Linked DNA regions of Rattus norvegicus. The main gene of each other region encodes a partner of the protein of the gene in region 2 in a complex. Links are inferred from orthologs where the notes say so. Each region holds a gene or a part of one and is shown on either strand. Other genes may lie near its edges.

Evidence for each region.
Region 1: the proteins of Rgs7 (region 2) and Gpr158 are in contact, whole or in part, in a cryo-EM structure (PDB 7SHF), measured with the Homo sapiens proteins. The link is inferred for Rattus norvegicus from reciprocal best matches to the Homo sapiens genes RGS7 and GPR158. Residues at the interface, in NP_001351815.1 of Homo sapiens: Gln35, Ile43, Ser55, Arg109, Phe110, Thr112, Pro113, Tyr114, Phe115, Lys134, Thr136, Lys140, Ala141, Arg142, Leu143, Leu145, Ala146, Asp147, Ala150, Leu153, Gln157, Trp164, Phe168, Met169, Gln170, Glu172, Ala173, Gln174, Lys176, Val177; in NP_065803.2 of Homo sapiens: Leu507, Lys508, Phe510, Leu511, Arg513, Thr514, Tyr595, Tyr598, Ala599, Thr602, Val603, Pro604, Ile714, Arg715, Leu718, Lys719, Tyr722, Leu725, Glu726, Tyr728, Lys729, Arg730, Met733, Ile734, Thr735, Asn736, Asn737.
Region 3: the proteins of Rgs7 (region 2) and Gnb5 are in contact, whole or in part, in a cryo-EM structure (PDB 7EWP), measured with the Homo sapiens proteins. The link is inferred for Rattus norvegicus from reciprocal best matches to the Homo sapiens genes RGS7 and GNB5. Residues at the interface, in NP_001351815.1 of Homo sapiens: Pro19, Leu22, Val23, Lys26, Val30, Ile72, Val76, Glu77, His80, Leu81, Leu84, His88, Val207, Asp213, Ile214, Lys215, Lys216, Leu258, Gln261, Ile262, Trp265, Gln266, Gln268, Leu269, Arg271, His272, Arg273, Leu274, Lys275, Met276; in NP_057278.2 of Homo sapiens: Leu57, Glu60, Ala61, Glu62, Leu64, Lys65, Leu68, Glu71, Lys74, Leu75, His76, Asp77, Val78, Glu79, Leu80, Val83, Leu90, Phe93, Arg98, Arg99, Leu109, Lys117, Arg118, Ser134, Phe135, Trp149, Met151, Leu167, Tyr197, Ser206.

What each region holds. Positions count from the first base shown.
Region 1 is NC_086035.1:88,740,628-88,746,635, reverse strand, and holds the start of Gpr158 (metabotropic glycine receptor precursor), read right to left. Parts: upstream 3,814-6,008; 5' UTR 3,111-3,813; coding exon 2,209-3,110; intron 1-2,208. UniProt on the Homo sapiens protein: Metabotropic receptor for glycine that controls synapse formation and function in the brain. Acts as an atypical G-protein coupled receptor that recruits and regulates the RGS7-GNB5 complex instead of activating G proteins.
Region 2 is NC_086031.1:89,937,257-89,943,522, reverse strand, and holds the start of Rgs7 (regulator of G-protein signaling 7), read left to right. Parts: upstream 1-2,472; 5' UTR 2,473-2,688; intron 2,689-2,767; exon of another isoform or gene 2,768-3,011; intron 3,012-3,068; exon of another isoform or gene 3,069-3,429; intron 3,430-3,826; 5' UTR 3,827-3,872; coding exon 3,873-3,950; intron 3,951-6,266. UniProt on the Homo sapiens protein: GTPase activator component of the RGS7-GNB5 complex that regulates G protein-coupled receptor signaling cascades.
Region 3 is NC_086026.1:84,954,427-84,960,592, forward strand, and holds the start of Gnb5 (guanine nucleotide-binding protein subunit beta-5), read left to right. Parts: upstream 1-2,202; 5' UTR 2,203-2,309; coding exon 2,310-2,421; intron 2,422-6,166. UniProt on the Homo sapiens protein: Enhances GTPase-activating protein (GAP) activity of regulator of G protein signaling (RGS) proteins, such as RGS7 and RGS9, hence involved in the termination of the signaling initiated by the G protein coupled receptors (GPCRs) by accelerating the GTP hydrolysis on the G-alpha subunits, thereby promoting their inactivation.

The DNA.
Region 1 (6,008 bases), on a different chromosome or scaffold from region 2:
TTGGAAATAATACCATTTATATGCAAGCTTACTTCCAGCTCACTAAGTCATCTTTAGGAAACTGCATACTAGTTAAAAGCATAAAGTAAGCATAAGCTTGCATCTTGACTCCTTTATTTAATAACTGTATGATCAGTCATAAAACTTAGCCCCTCCGTGTTCCATATGCCCTTATTCAAAAATACAGAAAACAATAACACATAACTATGAAGACTGCTGGAAAAAGTTGCCAAGATAGTCATACCAAGCAGTCAACACAGAACTTACCATCAAGTATACAGCACATAGACTAACATCAAGCAAAAGTGAGACAGAGCCAGTTGGGGAAGATGGGGAACAGGGAGAAGAGAGGAGAGAAGGAGAGAGAGAAAAGAAGGGAGAGAGGTCGATCCTGAGACTCTAAAAGGTATCATCTAACAGCCATGGTTCATGGGCTCCAAGTGGCATCTGCTGGGCCCTCTTGTAAGAAAACGCTGTGGCAAGGATTTGAAGCTGGTCTGACACGTTTACTACTAGGATCCTGGAAGAACCAGGAGGAAATGAGATTATCCTGAAAGTAGGAAAGTTGCTGTAGTTTAAGGTAGGATCTTTAAAAGAACCATAAACACACGTAGGGGTTCATGCAGAAACAAAGAAGAAAGGGGGGTCTTCATCTGTGCCGTTTCAAGCTGGCAGGAAATAAAGGCTACAGGATTTTATGACTGTGTATTTCCCTAGAGACAAACTGTTTCGATTCTCTCAGTTGATAGATAAGTGCCCGGGGCCCAGCGAGGTTAAACAACTTCATCGGAGGCAGTGCTTCTACTTTCCTGGGATTTCCTACCCATTGCTTGCCCTGGTATGTTCAAGCACATGCACACACACACACACACACACACACACACACACACACACACAGAGAGAGAGAGAGAGAGAGAGAGAGAGAAAGAGAGAGAGAGAGGGAGAGGGAGAGGGAGAGAGAGAGAGAGAGAGAGAGAGAGAGAGAGATCGCTTTTTCCAAATCTCAAAAATGTTAAATAATTAAATATATATATATATAATATATATATATAATATATATAAATAAATAATTAAATATATATATATATAATTATATATATAATATATATAAATATATATTATATATATATATATATATATATATATATCAATTCCAACCCCCCTCTGGTTCTTTGCAGTTTCCCATCGGGGTCTCTGGTAAACCCCATCAACATCAGTTCTCTCCAAATCCCTCTCTGCAGGTTCTCCTCCCTCCCCTCCATTCCTTCCTTGCATCCATCCCTGAAAGGCTACTTCTAGAAGTCCCTCACTGTGGAGCTGATGGGTAACAGTTCTAATCTGAGAGTGAGAGCTTTCCTATGACGCCATCGGGAGAGCTACTAAAGTCTCTTCCTAGTTTCCTGTTTGGGTGAGACTGATTCCTCCCTCCCCAACTCTCATGGAGAACCTTCAGCTGTGCCTAAGGAGAACAGGAGGAGGAAGACACCAGGAAGGAAAGCTGATGACTAGAGAAGAAGGGGGGAAGCCAATAGGAGTACTCTGGATCCTGGAGATGGCTCTGCTGCTGAGTGACTCAGTGCTGAGTGGCCAGAACTGCCCAGGGGATGGCACAGGTTTAATTACACGCTCTGGTAGCTGACTAACAGCAGGCTTGCGCTCCAGACTACACTCACAGGAAGTGGGCAGAGGCTATCCCAAAGTGACAGATTCAAGGAATTCTCACTCCTTGTATCCTTGTAGTTCTCTCTCTCTCTCTCTCTCTCTCTCTCTCTCTCTCTCTCTCTCTCTCTCTCTCTCTCTCTCACACACACACACACACACACACACACACACACACACACACATACTCACACGCACAACTGGTGTTCTTGACTCTGATGGGCACAGCCCAAGCTCTCCCAAAGTTCGGGGACAGAGTTGTTAACCTTCTCCCCTTGTGCTATGGAAGGATTGAGACCAATTGCTACATCCCCCAAGCCCCGCTGCCGCTGCACACCAGGGAATGGCTTTCCGTGAGTGCCTAAAGCAGACAGACCGGGCATTTGTCACCCCTCCGCGCATGAGCTCGCCTGGACTTCTCTTAGTCTGAAGTTCTGTTCCAAGGCTGGAGACTTAAGTCTCACTGGCAGACAAGTGTGTTTCCCCAGAGTGCCTATTTACAAAACCAAAAGATGACTCTGTGTGTGCCCTATCCAACCCTCTTCCTACCTGAATTCCGGGACCAGGTTAGGTTGAAGCCCGTAGAAGGCAGCAGAGAGAGTGACCAGCCACCCGGGCTTGTAACTCCCATTCTCGCACTCCAGAAAAGGTGGAGACCACTTGACATGGCTCCTGTCCCCGCCAAGCCCATCCCTGCGCCGCCAGCTGTGGCCCAGGCCCCGTGGCCCCTGATTGGAGCCGCGGCGGTGCAAGTGGGGCCTCCACTTTCGCCGAAGCCCGTGGAACCACTCGGTCTCCAGAGTGGCGTTAGCCAGGTGGTGAGCGGAGGAGGACAGGTCCTGCAGCAGGATGCGACTCTCCTCACGGGTGGCCTGGAGGAAGACTTGCGGGGCGGGCGTGGACAGCGACTCGGTGCTGAAGGTGATGGCCGCCCGGGAGATGCTGGGCTCTCCCTCCAGGAGACTTCGCACCAAAGCCTGGTACCACTGCAGGTCATCCTGCACGGTCTGCTCCCGAGACTTATTGCTCTGCAACATCATGTTGAGGAAGTTGGTGGCGTGTGTCAGAGTGTCCAGCGCCCCGTGCAAGGAAGGATGGGAGCTGGCTAGGGACGGTGACTTCCCCGGCAGGCCCGCCAACTCATAGCGGCCTGAGCAGTTGGCTCTCTTCAGCTGGTGGAAGTCCCCAGTATAGAGGTAAGAGGCCACGTCCATGGGCACCTCCTCGGCTAGTTTTTGTGCCAAGATGGTGCCGTCTGTGGAGCGGCTCCAGGGAATAGAGGGGTCCGGGGCAGAGGCTCGCGGCAGCTGCTGACCGTGCTGCTTCCCCCTCGAAGTCCTCTCTCGAGAAGAATCTGGCCGTTCTGAAGGGTCGAGGCTGGCACCAACCTCTCCCAATCCCAGATGAGCGAGCAGGAGGCAGAGGAGTAAAGAGTAAGCCATGGCTCCCATCTGTCTAGCACAGAAGAGAGGAGATAACCGGAGGAGTCACTTTGTAAATTTCGGTCCTTAATTTATCACCAGTAAGACTTTTGGGGGAGAGGCTTCCTTCTCCAGGTGGAGCCCAGTCCAGATGGACTTTAAAATAAGAATGTTTTGAAATTGGCCCAGCTGGTTCAGCTGCCGTCACAGACCCAAATCACCTGTGGCAATGCTGGCTGTGTCCCGCTCCACAATGGGTCGGCTCGGGATTACGCACCTCGCAGCCTTGAGCCAAACAGGTTACATCCCCGGCAGCTATAGTTAGCCGGCTTACGTCTTTCTGCTCAGCCGCTTCCACCGCCGCTCTCATTGAGGTGTGTTCAAGAGCTGGTGCTGATGCTGCTGATGCTGCTGATGCTGCCACCGCGGCCACTGAAGACGCTGCTCCATCATCTCACCCTTGGCAGGTCGTTCCCGCCTCCTGGCTGTGGCCCCTCCTCGACCCTTTCGCCCCGAGATGAAAGCGCGCACACAGATCCACGCCGCGAGCTCAGCGGCGAGTCCCAAGGAACCCAGGTTTTCTTTGAAGACGTTTGTGTCTCTGGAGTCCAGACTGCCAGGCAGCTGGTTAACTGGAGCCCTTACCACAAACCGCACCGCTGCCTCTCCCTGCTCTCAGATGAAACCAGTTTAAAGAGACAGCTTGGCCGCAACCAAACCCTTCTAGGGCGGCTTCAAGTCGTCTTGTGCCCTGTTTGGTCGGCGCCTCTGTCAATCAGCTGACTGCCATTTGTTGGCTGGGGCGGGAGCTGTCCAGTGCTGAACCCGAGGCGCACTGAGGAGGCGGAGGAGGAGGCGGCGGCGCTGCTTTCACCCACTCGTGTTCCCTGATGACTCGGAAACCTGCAGGGGTGGCGAGGAGTGGGCGGGAAAGAGGAGAGAAGCGGCGCTTTTGGTGGCTGAAAGCGAAGGAAACTTGGGCTACTGAGCAGGAGGAGGCTGTAGGCATCTGGCTTGCTTAGTTAGATCAGCCCTTCCTTTTGCCTGGAAAAGAGGGAGAAGAGAGTAGTTTTCATTTCTGACTGAAACTGGGGAGGAGGGAACGTAGGATGGAAACGTGTCCTTCTTAGCATCTGCTCATTTTTTTAGGCAAATTATCAAATTCTCTTCCTCATTGTCGGTTAAGGAAATGATTAAACCTGGCCTTCCAATGATGGTCTTAGCTGTGAGAGAGTAATGGAGACATCTACTGGCTGAGCGTCAAGGAAAAATAAATGTCATATTTAAGGAATCCTCTTCTTCGGAGCCAGAATGAAAGCGGAGCTCTGACAATAAAGATGTGTGGAGAGGGGACATGACCAAGAATTGCGTGTTGTAGACTGTGAGAGAATGAGGACGAAAACGAGTGAATCCCTAGTGTGTGTGGGATACAAAGTCACTGTCGGTGAGTTACTGGAATTGATGAAAAACAGCTCAGACTTCAAGGGAGGGCTCCAGAGATGTGTCAGCTCCTTAAAGAATTGGGAAGGGCCCCTAAGCCACCTGGGTGTATCACTTGAAGTTTCCTGTGACATTTCCCTGTTGCATCTGCACTTTCCAAGTGGGCCTCCACTTTCGAATTCCTCAAGAAGACACATGTAGAAAATCCCAGGTTTATTTTAGTCCCCAACTAACAATAGTGTCACTCATGCCAGTCCAAGAGACTTACTGTACTATATATCATTTTGTTCTGGCAAGAAAATACCTTAGGCTATTCTGGGTTTCTATCATTATATACTGATAAGTAAGGAAAAATGTTTGTTTAGCTCTTAGCTTTGCACAGTGGGTGTCCAAGATCAGGTGGTCCCTGATTTGGGTGACTGGTGATGGCCTTCTGGAGAGCATGGAAGACAGTATGATGCTCAGTAATATATTGAGGAGGGAGAGAGAAGCCAATTGGCATCGAGAGGAGGACTAAACAGGGTTTTTATGACAATCTAGTCGCACAAAGCCCTACTGACTCTCAGCATGAAGCATTCATCCACTAGTGAGAGTAGAGACCCCACAAACTAATTGCCTTCTACTAGGTCCCACCTCTTAAAGTTTTACCGTATTAACACGTCCACGCTGAGGACAAAGCTTCCAGTGAAAGAGTCTTTGGAGCACTATCCACATCAAGTAATAACAACGTCTAAGTACTGGGATGTAAGAGACAAAACAAGAAATATCTTCCCAGTCACAATCATGGTGGTACACTGAATATCTAGAACACTGCTGGCACTGTACAGTAGGCTCTCACTATATACTTGGTAATTAGTGAAGGAATTAGATGGTGATAAACCTAGCTATCCTTTTCTCATGAGAAGAGTTTTGCTCAGCGAGCCAGGGATGAAGGCTTTTGGGATAGGACTTAGCAACCAGTTTTCTCAGCTGTTATATATGGTTTCCTAATACATTTTTGTGATTATGCTAACAATATAGTTATTTGATTTGTATTTACTTATAAGTAGATTCTGTGCTTATATCTGTCCTAGTTAGGAGTACTATTGCAGTGATGAAACACCATGACCAAAAAAGCAAGTTTTGGAGGAAATAGATTATTTCTACATCACAATCTATCATCAAAGGAAGACAGGAAGGAACAGAAAGAGGGCAGAAACCTGATGCAGAAGCTCATTCAGAGGCCATGGAGGGATGCTGCTTACCGGCTTTCTCTTCTTGGCTTGCTTAGCCTGCTTTCTATGGAACCCATAACCATCAATTAGCCCAGGGATGGCACCACCACAATGGTCTAGACCTTCTCATATCAATCGCTAATTAAGGAAATGCTGGCTTGCCTATAGCCTGATCTTATAGAAGCACTTCCTCATTGGAGGTTCCATCCTCTCTGATGACTCTAGCCTAGGGGTAAGTTGACATCAAACTAGCCAGCATAATATCTGACTTTTT
Region 2 (6,266 bases):
AATATTTCAAAAATATTAATACAGTTGAATTTCTTTCCTTAAGTGAAACCATTGAAATTAGATTTATTCCCCTAGGTGGAACTATTAAAGTTAGACATAAAGAAAAAGCTTTTAAATGTCTCTTTGGGGGTTGATGAGGCTACAGGTAGGTCTTTTGCCTACTTGTTCAGAGGTCTCATCTGGCATATAAAATGTATATAGTACCACACATTTAAGAATTTAATTGGTTTAACAAAAATATTGCAACATATATGGTTCATAGAGAAAATAGTAAAATTAATTTGAGTGACAGTTGAGAATCATGAGAATGTTAAAATATAAGATACAGATGGATTTGGTGATATCTAGGGGTACTGGCTGGTTCTGTGTGTCACTTCGACCCCAGCTGGAGTTATCACAGAGAAAGGAGCCTCCCTTGAGGAAATGCCTCCATGAGATGCAGCTGTAAGGCATGTTCTCAATTAGTGATCAAGCAGGGAGGCCCCTTTTAGGTGGTGCTGTCCCTGTACTGGTAGTCTTGGGTTCTACAAGAAAGCAAGCTGAGCAAGGCAGGGAAAGCAAGCCAGTGAATAACATCCCTCCATGGCCTCTGCATTGGTGTCTGCTTCCTGCGGTGCGTAAGTTCTAGTCCTGACTTCCTTTGGTGATGAGCAGCAATGTGGAGGTGTAAGTTGAATAAACCCTTTCCTCCCCAATTCGTTTCTTCGTCCTGATGTTTGTGCAGGAATAGAAACCCTGACTAAGACACTAGGCTATTTCCTCGACTTTAACTCTGAAGAATGTGAGTCCTGGAAATTCATAGGCGATAAATGACTGACCGAGTTATGAGTTGTCTCCAGAATTGAATCTTCTTCCTTAGTTCTTTCCTGGCAACTGTAACTATCCTTACAGGCTCCTTCAGGCCATTTCATTTAGGACAAACTGGTGAGCACACCCAATGCCTCTTTCTGTATCCATCCATCTAAAAACACAAGAGTATCCATCCACACAGTAGAATAGCAAGGGGAAGAAAGGGAAGGAGGGGGCTGAAGGCAGAACCGCTGGTTTCAGCTAGGATAAGAATACCAAGGAGCTATTAGAAGACACTGGAAACAGAGAATTTTGCTGAGCAATAGAAATATTTGGGGGGACTGGGAAAATAAGCATGTAGTATTCAGAACAAGGGTAGGGGTAGACAAATATTTATTATTTTGAGTGACACCCGAAAGAGCCTGGGCAAGGCCAGAAAGTGACTGGTATTCAGAGATATTTGAATAGCAGTCTCTATGTACTAAGTTTCACCCTGCTTTGACAAGCAGCTACAGAGGGCTCTGGCTAGGCAAACCTAGTGCCACAGGTTTGTAATCCCAGCTGCTTGGGAGGCTGGGGCAGGGGAACGTTGAATTTTAAGGTCTGTTTGGGTTAAACTGAGTTTAAGGCCAGGCTGGGTAGACATTATTTATGGGAAAAAAAATGTGTTGGCAGAAAGGGTGGTGAGTGGGATTCGGATCATTGACAGAGACCCTATGTTTAGTCCCACAAACAAACAAAATCACACTGGCTAAATCATCTTTGATCCGCAGCTACAGAGGAAGCCTCAGAGTCTCAGATTCCTACAACTTCCTAATGTCCCAGAAAGCTGGGTACGTTTCAGGAGGACAAACACTTTCCTCTTTAATGTCCTCCTAACCCTTGAGAAATTAGTGGCAGGAACCCGAAGAGTTCCTGGGATGCAGGGGTATCAGTAACCCTTCTGTGAACTCCGGTGGAGGACAAGGACTAAAGACAAGTTTCTCTGAGCCCAGTAGGTTAAACCAGCCAGACGTCAGCCATAATCCTTCAATGTCACAGGTGGTGAGATTGTTCCCTCTTGGTCCAGGCCTCCAAATTCTTTCCTGGTTTTTTCCAACTTAAGAGGAGGCAGTAAAAGCCACCGGCAAACAGGACCGGGGTGAAGAGGGGGGCCTGCAAAGAGTCACTCGGTCCTGGCCATTGCTTTCAATTCTGGGATATTCCAGCATCTCTCTTTGCTGTTACTTAAGCAGAAGATTATCAATCATTTGCTTCCCTAGTTGTGCCAGCAGGGTCGCCAGGAGCACGGTGTAGAGCTGCCAGCGGCAGGGGGCTTTAATCTAACCATCCATTTACCCACTCACCCACCCATTCACCCACCTACCCATCCACCCACCCTCTGCCAAGCCCTTCCTCCTGCTTAGCTCAGTTTTGCTCTCCAGGCCTGCGGCGGCGCGGGCGGGGCGCAGGAGCGTGGGTTAGCCAGCGCGGGGGACAGGGCCTGTGCTCCGGAGGGGTTGCGGGGTCGGGAGGCCGGGGAGACCCAGGGGTGTGGCGGCGGCAGAGCCGAGCCCGTCCGAGCCGGCACCTTCGGGCGTCCCTGTCCCACGTGACTGTCGCCTCCTCCCTCCTCCCAGTCGCGCGCGCACGGGTCGGGCGTCTCGACTCCCGCGCGCGCTCGACTGGTCCCAGTCCCCGGGAGGAGAAGCGGAGGAGGGAACGAGCGAGGCGGCCCGGGGGAGCGGGCGCGAGCGGCGGCTGCCAGGGCCGCCTGTGCACCGCGAGGGTGGCGGTGGCCTGAGCAGCGCGAGTGTGATGAGGCTGCCCTGCCTCACTGCTCCGCTCGCAGCCAGCTGACAGCGCCTGCCCTCAGCACGCCCGGAGGGGAACCGCGGGGCCGTGACCTTGGCCGAGGAGGTAACCGGAGAGGGTGGGAGGGGAGGAGGCGGCGCCACCCGGAGTCCCTGGGACCCCCGGCCCCGCACCCGGTCCTCGCCCTGCGACGGCGGGAGCCACAGTCCCCAAAGAGCGGCGCGCTCGGCCGGGCTGGGGCGCTGCGCACGCCGCGGTCCACGGTGCTGAAACTGCTGCCCGGTGTGGCCAGTGCCTGGATGCGGGGCAAGGCAGCCTGCCATTTGCTGCCGCCGAGAGCAAGGGCTGAGCAGGATGAGATGGGACCCAGATTTCTCTGTTCTTCTGGCCGATTGCTCCAGGCTTGTGCAGTTAGCTTGCTCTCTGAGGTGAGCCAGGTGATTGCCTAAGGCTTGACTTCCCACCAGCCTCGGGTTGCCTGGACCTAATTTGGATGCTTTCTTCCAAAGATTAGTCAGGATTAGGTCCAGACTTAGCGCGCTGAGTGAGGTGGCAGCACAGAGGAGCCATGGGCTAGCAGTGAAGGCAGGTGAAAGTGGAAAAGCCTATGCCCAGGCTGTGTGGGGAACCCGAGGCATGGAGAGGAAACGTGTGCCAGAGAACACTTGTGGGGAAGGGGCCTCTGATGCTCCCGTCATGCGAAACTAGCAGGATAGGAGGAGAAAGTGGGCTGCTGCTGTGGGTGTTGGCTTTCTACCCTTTGGGGAGATCCGCATCAAGTGAGCAGCAAGTATCCAGAGAGAGCTGTGGGTATTAGGAAAGTGCCATCCATGGGTTTTTTAAAAAGTGAGTACCTAACACTTTTAAAAAGAGAGTATTCACAAAATGAAGTCCACAAAACCTTAGCCAGTTGACTGTATCTAACTGGAAGGTTGTCTGTTGAAATTTCCTGGGGCTACTATAGATGTAAACTCCTTCCGTTTTTCTTTCTTTCTTTCTTTCTTTCTTTCTTTCTTTCTTTCTTTCTTTCTTTCTTTCTTTCTTTTTTAAAGTCCATGTCCTGTGTTCTCCAGTCAGCCCAGGAATGAAAAAAATTTCTCCCCATGGGTTGGGTACTGTGAACATGAAGATGAGTGTGTGTGTGTGTGTGTGTGTGTGTGTGTGTGTGTGTGTGTTGGGGGGGGGTCTGTTCCCTCCAGGGCTCCTACCAGGATCTCACCAGAGGCTCTCTAATCATTTGCAGGGCAGACTGATCATCCTTGTATCTGAGCTACCAAGTTCTGTGTGAAATGGCTCAGGGGAATAATTATGGCCAGACCAGCAATGGGGTGGCAGAGGAATCACCGAACATGCTGGTGTACAGAAAGGTAAGAGTCCTTCACCTCCCTGGAAAAAGGGGAACTTCAGCTTCCTTTCTTCCTCCCTTTCTTTTTTCTCTCTTTCTTTCCTTTTTTCTTTCCTTCTTTCTTTCTTTTCTTTCTTCCTTCCTTCCTTCCTTTCTTTCTTTTCTTCTTTCTCTCTCCTTATCTTTCATTTTTTCTTCTTCCTTCCTCTTTCTTCTTTCTTTTGTCTGGCTCCGAGTATTTATCAACTTCGTGAACTCCCAGAGCATCAGTGACTATGTACTCTGCTAAAGGACGATCAGATGTTCCCAAGTGACAGGAAGTAAAATAGACCTTGCACATTCCTTGCTGACCGTTACAGTCACCTGTTGTTAGCATCTACACTGTTTGGCTATTCATTGTATTGTGCTGTTCCACTAGATTTAATACCATCCCTTGCGACTCTTTCAGACGGTATTTTCGAAACATTTAGGTTTAATAATGTCTTGAGTGTGCTGCAGTTTGGAAACTAAACGATGGCTTTACAGGTCTCCGGCGAGAATGACTGTATCCGTGGATGTGTAAGCTTTCACCAGTTTGCTCACGGCTAGATGACTCTGGTTCTTTTGGTCTTAACCTAATTTCTTACCTTGCATTATTTCCGTGACGTTATCTATAGCATCTGTGCTATAGTGTCATACATCCCTGGGATAATCTGTACAGTCCCTATTCCCCTTCTGCAAACGCATCTAACTGTTTTCTGCCATGTTTTCGTACTTCTAGACGTTGATCTACGTTTGGGTTTTGCATGTGTTTCAGGATGGTTGCTTAGGTAACCTCAACATGGTTATAATCAACACGTTTGCTAAAATTAAGGAGGCAGTATTCTTTGCATAACTTCTGCATTGGTTTCTCCTTTTGTAGTTTTTACTGGGGTTATTTTTTTTTTTCTTAAGCGTATTACCTGGGGCGTGTCATGGCTCGGGTTTCATTAGTTGGCACTGACAACAGCAAGTGGAAATCCTTCTCTGAGGTCAGGAATGTTATTAAGGGTTTTGATGAGCGGGAGTCCACTGGATTCACTGTGAGTGTAGATCTGTGAGACTGAGCTGATTGTGAAGACAGAGGAAAGGCTGTGTGCTTGCCTTAACCCATGCAGAAATCCTAACTTTACCTGTGTGCCCCAGAGGCATTAGAAGGCAGTCAGGATTGTGCTGGGGGGATATCGATACCACTCTAAGCAGATGCATGATGTTCGGACACAATACCAACTGCTTATCCTGTAGCCTGTGAATGGTGCTATTCTGTATACGTGTAAATGCAGCCAGATGTGTCTGAGACATCACAGAAAGAAGGGGAAGAAAAATAAGGGACTAGCTGACTCCTTCCATCATTTTATCCAAATAGATGAATTAAGACTATCATGCACTTGAACCTAAGTCATTGCTATTACATCCGGACACTGAATGAAGTAACTGTGCTCACGTATTTTACATATAGAGCTGGTCTAGAGGAGAAGAATATTCTGGCGGTAGTTGGGTACTTAGTAACTGATTTTATTTTATGTGGTATGACTTTGAATGTTGTAACATGAAAGATGTGAGGATTTAAAAAAAAATCTGTCCTAGGAGTTTATGCAGTATGGGGAGCTGTACTTCCGAGGGGAAGTTATGGTAGCAAGTTACGTTTGTTAAGCCACACAGCTGGATTCTTTTCCTGTTTGCCTATAAACAATCGACAGACAGCTTGGATGTCATTATTTGAGTGCTTGCTGTACCAACTCTCAGATTACTAAGTTTGAATTTACATTATAAATTTACTTTTATAGTTTCAAATCACTGTTAGTTTTAAATGTAAACTTGTATGTTTCATGGAGATTTTATGGAATCTAACTTTTTGTCCTTCGAGACTATGTAGTTCTGGCTAGATTTTAACCTGCAACCACTCTCCTGACTCTGCCTCTCAATAACATCTCCTCCTTCCTTCCCTCCCTCCCTCCCTCCTTCCCTCCTTCCCTCCTTCCTTCCTTCCATTTCTCTCTTTCTCTCTCTCTCTCTTTCTTTCTTTCTTCCTTTTTTTTAAAACATTATTTCTGGTTGAGCTTAAGACCACTAATGACTTGATTAGCTTTTTGTTCAGCGGGGAAATTGCCTGATAAAACATGACTGAGAAAAAAAATAACCAAGTTCAGTAAGTCTTATGTGTAATGGTGTAATAATAGGTTTAATGCCCAGCCATAGTGTCTGAACAATTTTTGTATGTGTGTAAGTTTGTGGTGTGTGTGTGTGTGTGTGCGTGCGTGTGTGTGTGTGTGCGTGTGCGTGTGCGTGTGTGTGCGTGTGCGTGCGTGTGCGTGTGCGT
Region 3 (6,166 bases), on a different chromosome or scaffold from region 2:
GCCCACCCACTGGGCAGGGCAGAAACTGAACAGAAATCCCGACTTACTTTCTCAAAGTACATCAAATCTTGCCCTCCCCAAAGCTACCCCAGGCTTCGGATTATCACTGAAAAAGTGTATTCAGCCCTGGGAATCTTTAGTCCCTGTCTTAGAAGATCCACCGGGCTGTGCGCAAAGCGATGGCTCACCAGTGCCCCCATCTGGTAACAGGTGGTACTGCACCCTTTCCTGATAGCCCAACTGGAGCACTGCACGTGTGGTATACAGACATACATACAGACAAAACACCCATATACATGACATAAAAATAAATACATAAATCCTTAAATTTTAGATCAAAATATGTGTTTATTTTATGTATATGAGAGGCTCGCCTGCATATATGTCTGTGAACCATGTCATGCCTGGTGTCAATGGAGCCAGATCAGGGCACTGAATTCCCTGGAACTTAACATTATTAAGAATTGTGAACCACCACATGGGTGATGGGAAGAAAAACTGGGTCCTCTGGAAGAACATTAGGTATTTTTAACTGCTGAGCCATCGCCCCAACCCTTGACTCTGTGTGTGTACACATTATATGCATATACACTTAAACGTATGTAGCCTGGTTTATCCATTTAGTAAGTGAGCATAAGCTCATCGCTTCCATAAGCCAACGTTCTGCTAAATTCTGAGGCTAAAACGATGGATAAGGTGCCAGGCATGACAGTGCACATGTTTAATCCCAGCACCCGAGAGGCAGAGGTAGATTGAGCAACATGACTTCTGGGCCAGCCTGCTCTACAAAGGGTGCTGCAGGGAAGCCAGGGCTATAAAGAGGGAGACATGGACAGAAGGGTGGGGGAGAGCAGGGAAGGGGAGCACAGAGAGAGGCCGAGACAGAGACAAAGACAGACAGACAGAGGCATAGGGAATGAAAATGGGTGGTGGATAACCCTCTATTGAAGAGAAAGGAGAAGCAACTGACAGAGAGGTATCCTCCAGTCTCCTCCCCAGCATCTAATTCTCAGAAAGCCCTGGGATGCAGACTTTTCCAGATAAGGAAATGGAGACTCCCAGAATCTTGCCTAAAACACAGGTATGTGTACATTAATACAATACTTTCTCAGACTGAGAAGGCCCAGAACAGATGCATACGTGCACACACACACACACACACACACACACACACACACACACACAGGCCAGCACTGGAGACTGCTTCTGCAGTGTTCAGCCCAGAATTTGTGAACTTGGTCCTCCTTCCCATCCTAAAGGTCATGGAGAAAAGGGAGAAGGCCTAAGTGAGAGCCTATCAGTGAACCTGAACTGCCCGGGTCCTAACCCTGCCTTCTTCTCTTCCTGGAAGTGTGACACTGAGTGTTCACGGCCTTTTGTCCCTACTCTGCAAAAATAGCTTGGAGGTGGGGTGGGAGGTGGGGTGTCTGGGATTCCTTTCACAGCGACTCAGGTGAGCACTGAAAGTGTCACCAAGGAACCTAGCCCAGTGAAGTGTAGCTGCAGAGGAGCCACTGGAGTCATCAAATTGTTAAGGTCAATAAAACATAAGCAGGGCTGGAGAGATGGCTCAGCGGTTAAGAGCACTGACTGCTCTTCCAGAGGTCCTGAGTTCAAATCCCAGCAACCACATGGTGGCTCACAACCATCTGTAATGAGATCTGATGCCCTCTTCCTGGTGTGTCTGAAGACAGTGGCAGTGTACTCATATATAATAAATAAATCTTAAAGAAATAAAATAAAACATAAGCAAACCTTCATTCCAAAAGAGAGGACGCCCCTGACCCCAGCAAGGTCTGCCCCTGACTCATGCTTTTGTTGTCTTAACCCAGAACCCAGGCAGTCAGAACTCATTTTTAAAAGAATGTTTCAACTAGTGGGCTGTGAGGCACCTGTATGAAGCCTCCTGCCCCCAAGTCCCCGGGATGCCAAGGGCTGGGCGGTATAGGTTGGACTTCAGTAAGCACCCCTGGAGCCAGGAGACCAGAGTTTGTGGGCCATAGCGTGGTCTGCGAGCCTCAGTTTATTCTAGCCTCCTACCCTCACCCACCCCCACTCTCACCCCAACTCCCATCCCCACCCCCACTGTCCCACCTCCGAGCATCGCCCCGCCCGGTTCTCAGGGAGGGCGCGGTGGGCGGAGCCAGCAGAGTCTGTCACCGCAGCGCTCGCGTCACTGCCGAGGGGGCGGGCCCGGGGTGGCGTTCGGGGTCACGGAGGCTGCTGCTGCGCCCGCCCTCCCGTCGGGCCCCCGCGTCGATTCACAATCTCCCGCTTTGCGTTTCTCTCCCGGCTGCATCCGGACGAAGATGGCAACCGATGGGCTGCACGAGAACGAGACGCTGGCGTCGCTGAAGAGCGAGGCCGAGAGCCTCAAGGGCAAGCTAGAGGAGGAGCGGGCGAAGCTGCATGACGTGGAGCGTGAGTGCGAGCAGGGGGTGGAAGGGAAGCTCTCGGCCGGAGTGGACCAGACTCTCCAAGGGGCTGGCGGACCTGCGTGGGACCGATTCCAACGTCCCTGATGGGAGGATGCCGAGCCCCTCCCAGGGGGCGGGTGGGGAGGTGGTGACAGCAGGTGCGGGCGGGCGAGGAGAGACCGCTTTACAGTTCCACGTTGGGCTTCTCTGCCCCTGTCAGGTCCCTTCCTCTGCGTGGATTTTGAAGCTCCCTTTCCCATCTCTCCACTGTCCTTGGGGGCAGGGAGCTGGATGGCGGAGGGAAGCCGATGTGCTTTCTGCATCCGCCGGCTCGGCTTGGGGTAGGCCCTTTTAGGAGTGTTTGATGGATGCTGCGGCTGACATAAAAGAGCTAACGCGGTATAAATAAACTTGCCAGCGTGCCCGCATCCCAGAGACTCTCGGCCAGAGAGAGAACAGAGCTCGGAGTAGGGACCCTGCTTGGGCAGTGGTCTTACCCGTTCACCCTCCCTTACTTACGTACTCCCTTTCAAGGCCTGCCAGCCCCCAACCCTAACACACTTCTGTACGGTGCGCCCCCCCCCCACGCCCCTGCCCACCTTCCTAATAGGCCTTGATCTTTTCAGTTCCATTTAGAGAAGGGAACTGGGGGTCAGAGTGAGGCCTTTAGTGTTTAATTTCTTTGAAACTTGCTGGAAGTACAAAACCCTGGTTGTCTGCTCTCGGGGCCTTCTCTTAAGTTAGGAAGGGGCAGCTAACTCCTGTGTGGTTAGAAATGTGCTCAGATGTAAGTGGTTAAATGGTGGGTTTTGGTAACAAGATCAGGTCTGGTGCAGCTACCTGGTGCTTTGAGGGACTCACGCGTTTCCACGCCTTATCGCTGGCACTTATTTACCCAGTGATCCCAAGATGACTGCCACCGCTCCAAACGTTGCCCCTGTATCCAAAGCAGGAAGAAGGGAGAGTGTGAACACCGGGGCTCTTTTCCTTCTTAGGGAAAAAGCAAACATTTCCCAGAATTCCTCTCCTCCCAACATTTCTATCTGCACTTCATAGGCCATGTGGCCCCTGCCAGGGAGTCTGAAAAAGGGGGAGCCAGGCTGAGCATGTTGCCAGCCCTAAATGAGAAGTGAGGAGTAGGTATCAGCTGCGTGACATGGGCCTGCCTTCTCAGAGCCTTGTATGCTACAGATAGATGATGGTGTTGCCTCATCTTGGTATCAGTGCCTTGGACTTCTCCACTTGACAGCTTAGTCTTGTGGCTTGAGCAGTCTTTTTGAAGCCCCACACCGATGGCCCTTATGACATGAGCCCCCCACTCTAGCACAACCCTTCAGCCCACACAGAGAAACCCTTGTCTTGTCGTCTCTCCATCCCTTAAAGTCCCACTCTGACCACAGTGTCTTCCAGGTCCTTAGGAACCCTGGCTCTCTCCTGTACCTGGAAGCCCTGTCCTGTGTTCCGTCACTTCCCTGACATCAGCACAGACATTTTGATCAACTTCTGGAAGTCTTGCTGAGGGACATTGACTCTGGCCCTCCTGCCCCCTCCCCAGCCATGGATGTAGCCATCCTCCTGTCTCCTCTCGCTGAACTCCAGGGGCTACTGAAGAGAGGGCACCAAGAGACCTCTGTGGTCAGTGGCTAAGTGACCCCTGCATTGCCCTTAGTCAGATTTACCCTGGCAACTGTAAGACGTCAGCAATCTGTGGGAGTCTCTGTTCTGCCCACCTTTTATTTCCCTCACAGAAAGTGGGAGGTAAAAGAAGTGAGAGGCCTGTTTATAGATCTGAGTTCATAGATTTAGCCCTCGTCCCCTGCACACCTGCAAGGGTCAGCTTCCCCTCTCTCCTCATCTCAGGATACCCCTCCTCATCTTTAATTTCCCTTCCATCTCTCTACCTCTGAAAACAGTCACACACACACACACACACACACACACACACACACACACACACCTCTATCTTTTACTCACACAGTTTGTCAGCCCCTAGTGTGTCTGCCTCTGCTTGGTCCATAAAGATGCTGCAGTGAACAAATCAAGAATGTTCCCTTGTAAGTCTTTGGTCCAAAGGCTTCTAGAAGTTGGTCATTCAATAGGTAAGATGAGATTGGGTTAGACACGTGCTCTGGATAGAAGAGAGGGGGTGGGGATGTGGGAAATGAGTCTGGGGGAGCTCAGAGACTTCCAGAGACTGTGAGCTGGAGTGGCTCCCAGAAAGGATCTTTGAATGCAGACTCCTTACCTGTGTAAAGGACAGACTGTCCCAGAAAAGAGCATTTGAAATAAAGCAGCAGCACAAGCTGGGTCAAGGGAGCATTGATGTAGTGAGGCAAAGCTGAGGCAGGGGACTATGTTTGCTGTACTTAGGGAAAGCTGAGGCTATGTCTGGAGAGGCATAAACAGGAGTAGAGAAGAAAGTGGGGTTACAATGGGAGCTATTGGAGCATGGAGGGACATAGCGAAGGATTGGGTGCTATGCATGTGTGTGTGCACACGCACGTGTGCGTGTGAATGTGTAGAGACCTGAGGTAAACTAAGGTGAATGCTGTTCACCTTGGTTTTTATAAACAAGTCTCTCGTTTTACCTGGACCAAGTATGTAGGCCAGGCTGGCCAATGAGCTTGAGGGATCCTCCTGTCTCCGCCTCCCTGGACTGGAATGACAAGTGTGAGCCACTACAGCCAACTTGATTGACACTTAGGTCCTGATTCATGTGCCATCTCCCCAGCCCTAGGACTTGGGATTTCAAAAAGACTGAGTGAACTGACCCACAGACATGGGTTTTTTTGTTTTGTTTTTGTTTGTTTTATTTTGTTTTTGTTTTCTAAATCACCTCTCAATTTTTTATTTGTGTATGTGCATCCCCACAGAACACAGAAGACTGACTGGCCCTATGAAAACTAAGCTAACTTTCTTTTAAAACTTTCTGGGGAGGGGCACAATGAGACGGCTCAACAGGTTGTGGCCAAGGCCTAAGGACCCTGGTTGTATCCCTTGGGCCCACTTGGAAGAAAGAGACAGACAGCTTTGAGCTGTCTTCTGAGGTCCACATATGACACGTGAATAATTGGATAAAATAAATATAATTTTAAAAGAAATTTAAGGGTGAATGAAAAATCAATTATGAGTCATAGCTTGGTTGGTAGGGACAGGCCTGGGTTCCATTCTCTGCACGACAGAATGGCAATGCAGGCTTACAGTCCCAGCACTTGGAAGGTTGAGGCATCAAAAGGTCAAGGTTATTCTCCACTACATAATGGGTTTGGGGCCAGCCTGCGTTACATGAGACCCTGTTTAAAAACAAACAGAGAAGTAAATATTTTTAGTCAGTACAATAGTTGAAGATGAGAAACCGGAAGGGATCGATCGATTCCTGATCCAAACTCGGCCCTCAGTTCTGTAACTTTAGCACTCAGACCAGGGTCTTACTCTGTAGACTTCATTCCCTGGTCAGATCCATGGCCAGCATGACGTGCCTGAAGTAGCTCACGTGGCTTATATGACAGGGAGTCAGCCTACCTCAGTTGCACAGCCAGGAGCTCCTGTCTCCCTAACCTCCTGCAGAGAGCTCTTTCTCCTCCCAGGAAGAGTGGCCTGCCATCATGTTACAATCGCACAGCACAGCTTCTGTCAGCTTCCTTTTCACACCATGCTACACAGACTTCCACCGTCTTGGGGTCGTTAGTTCAGGCAGTCAGAAGTCTAACTTCTGACTGCGTGACTGGGTGAGTGGGCTCAGAGGCTCC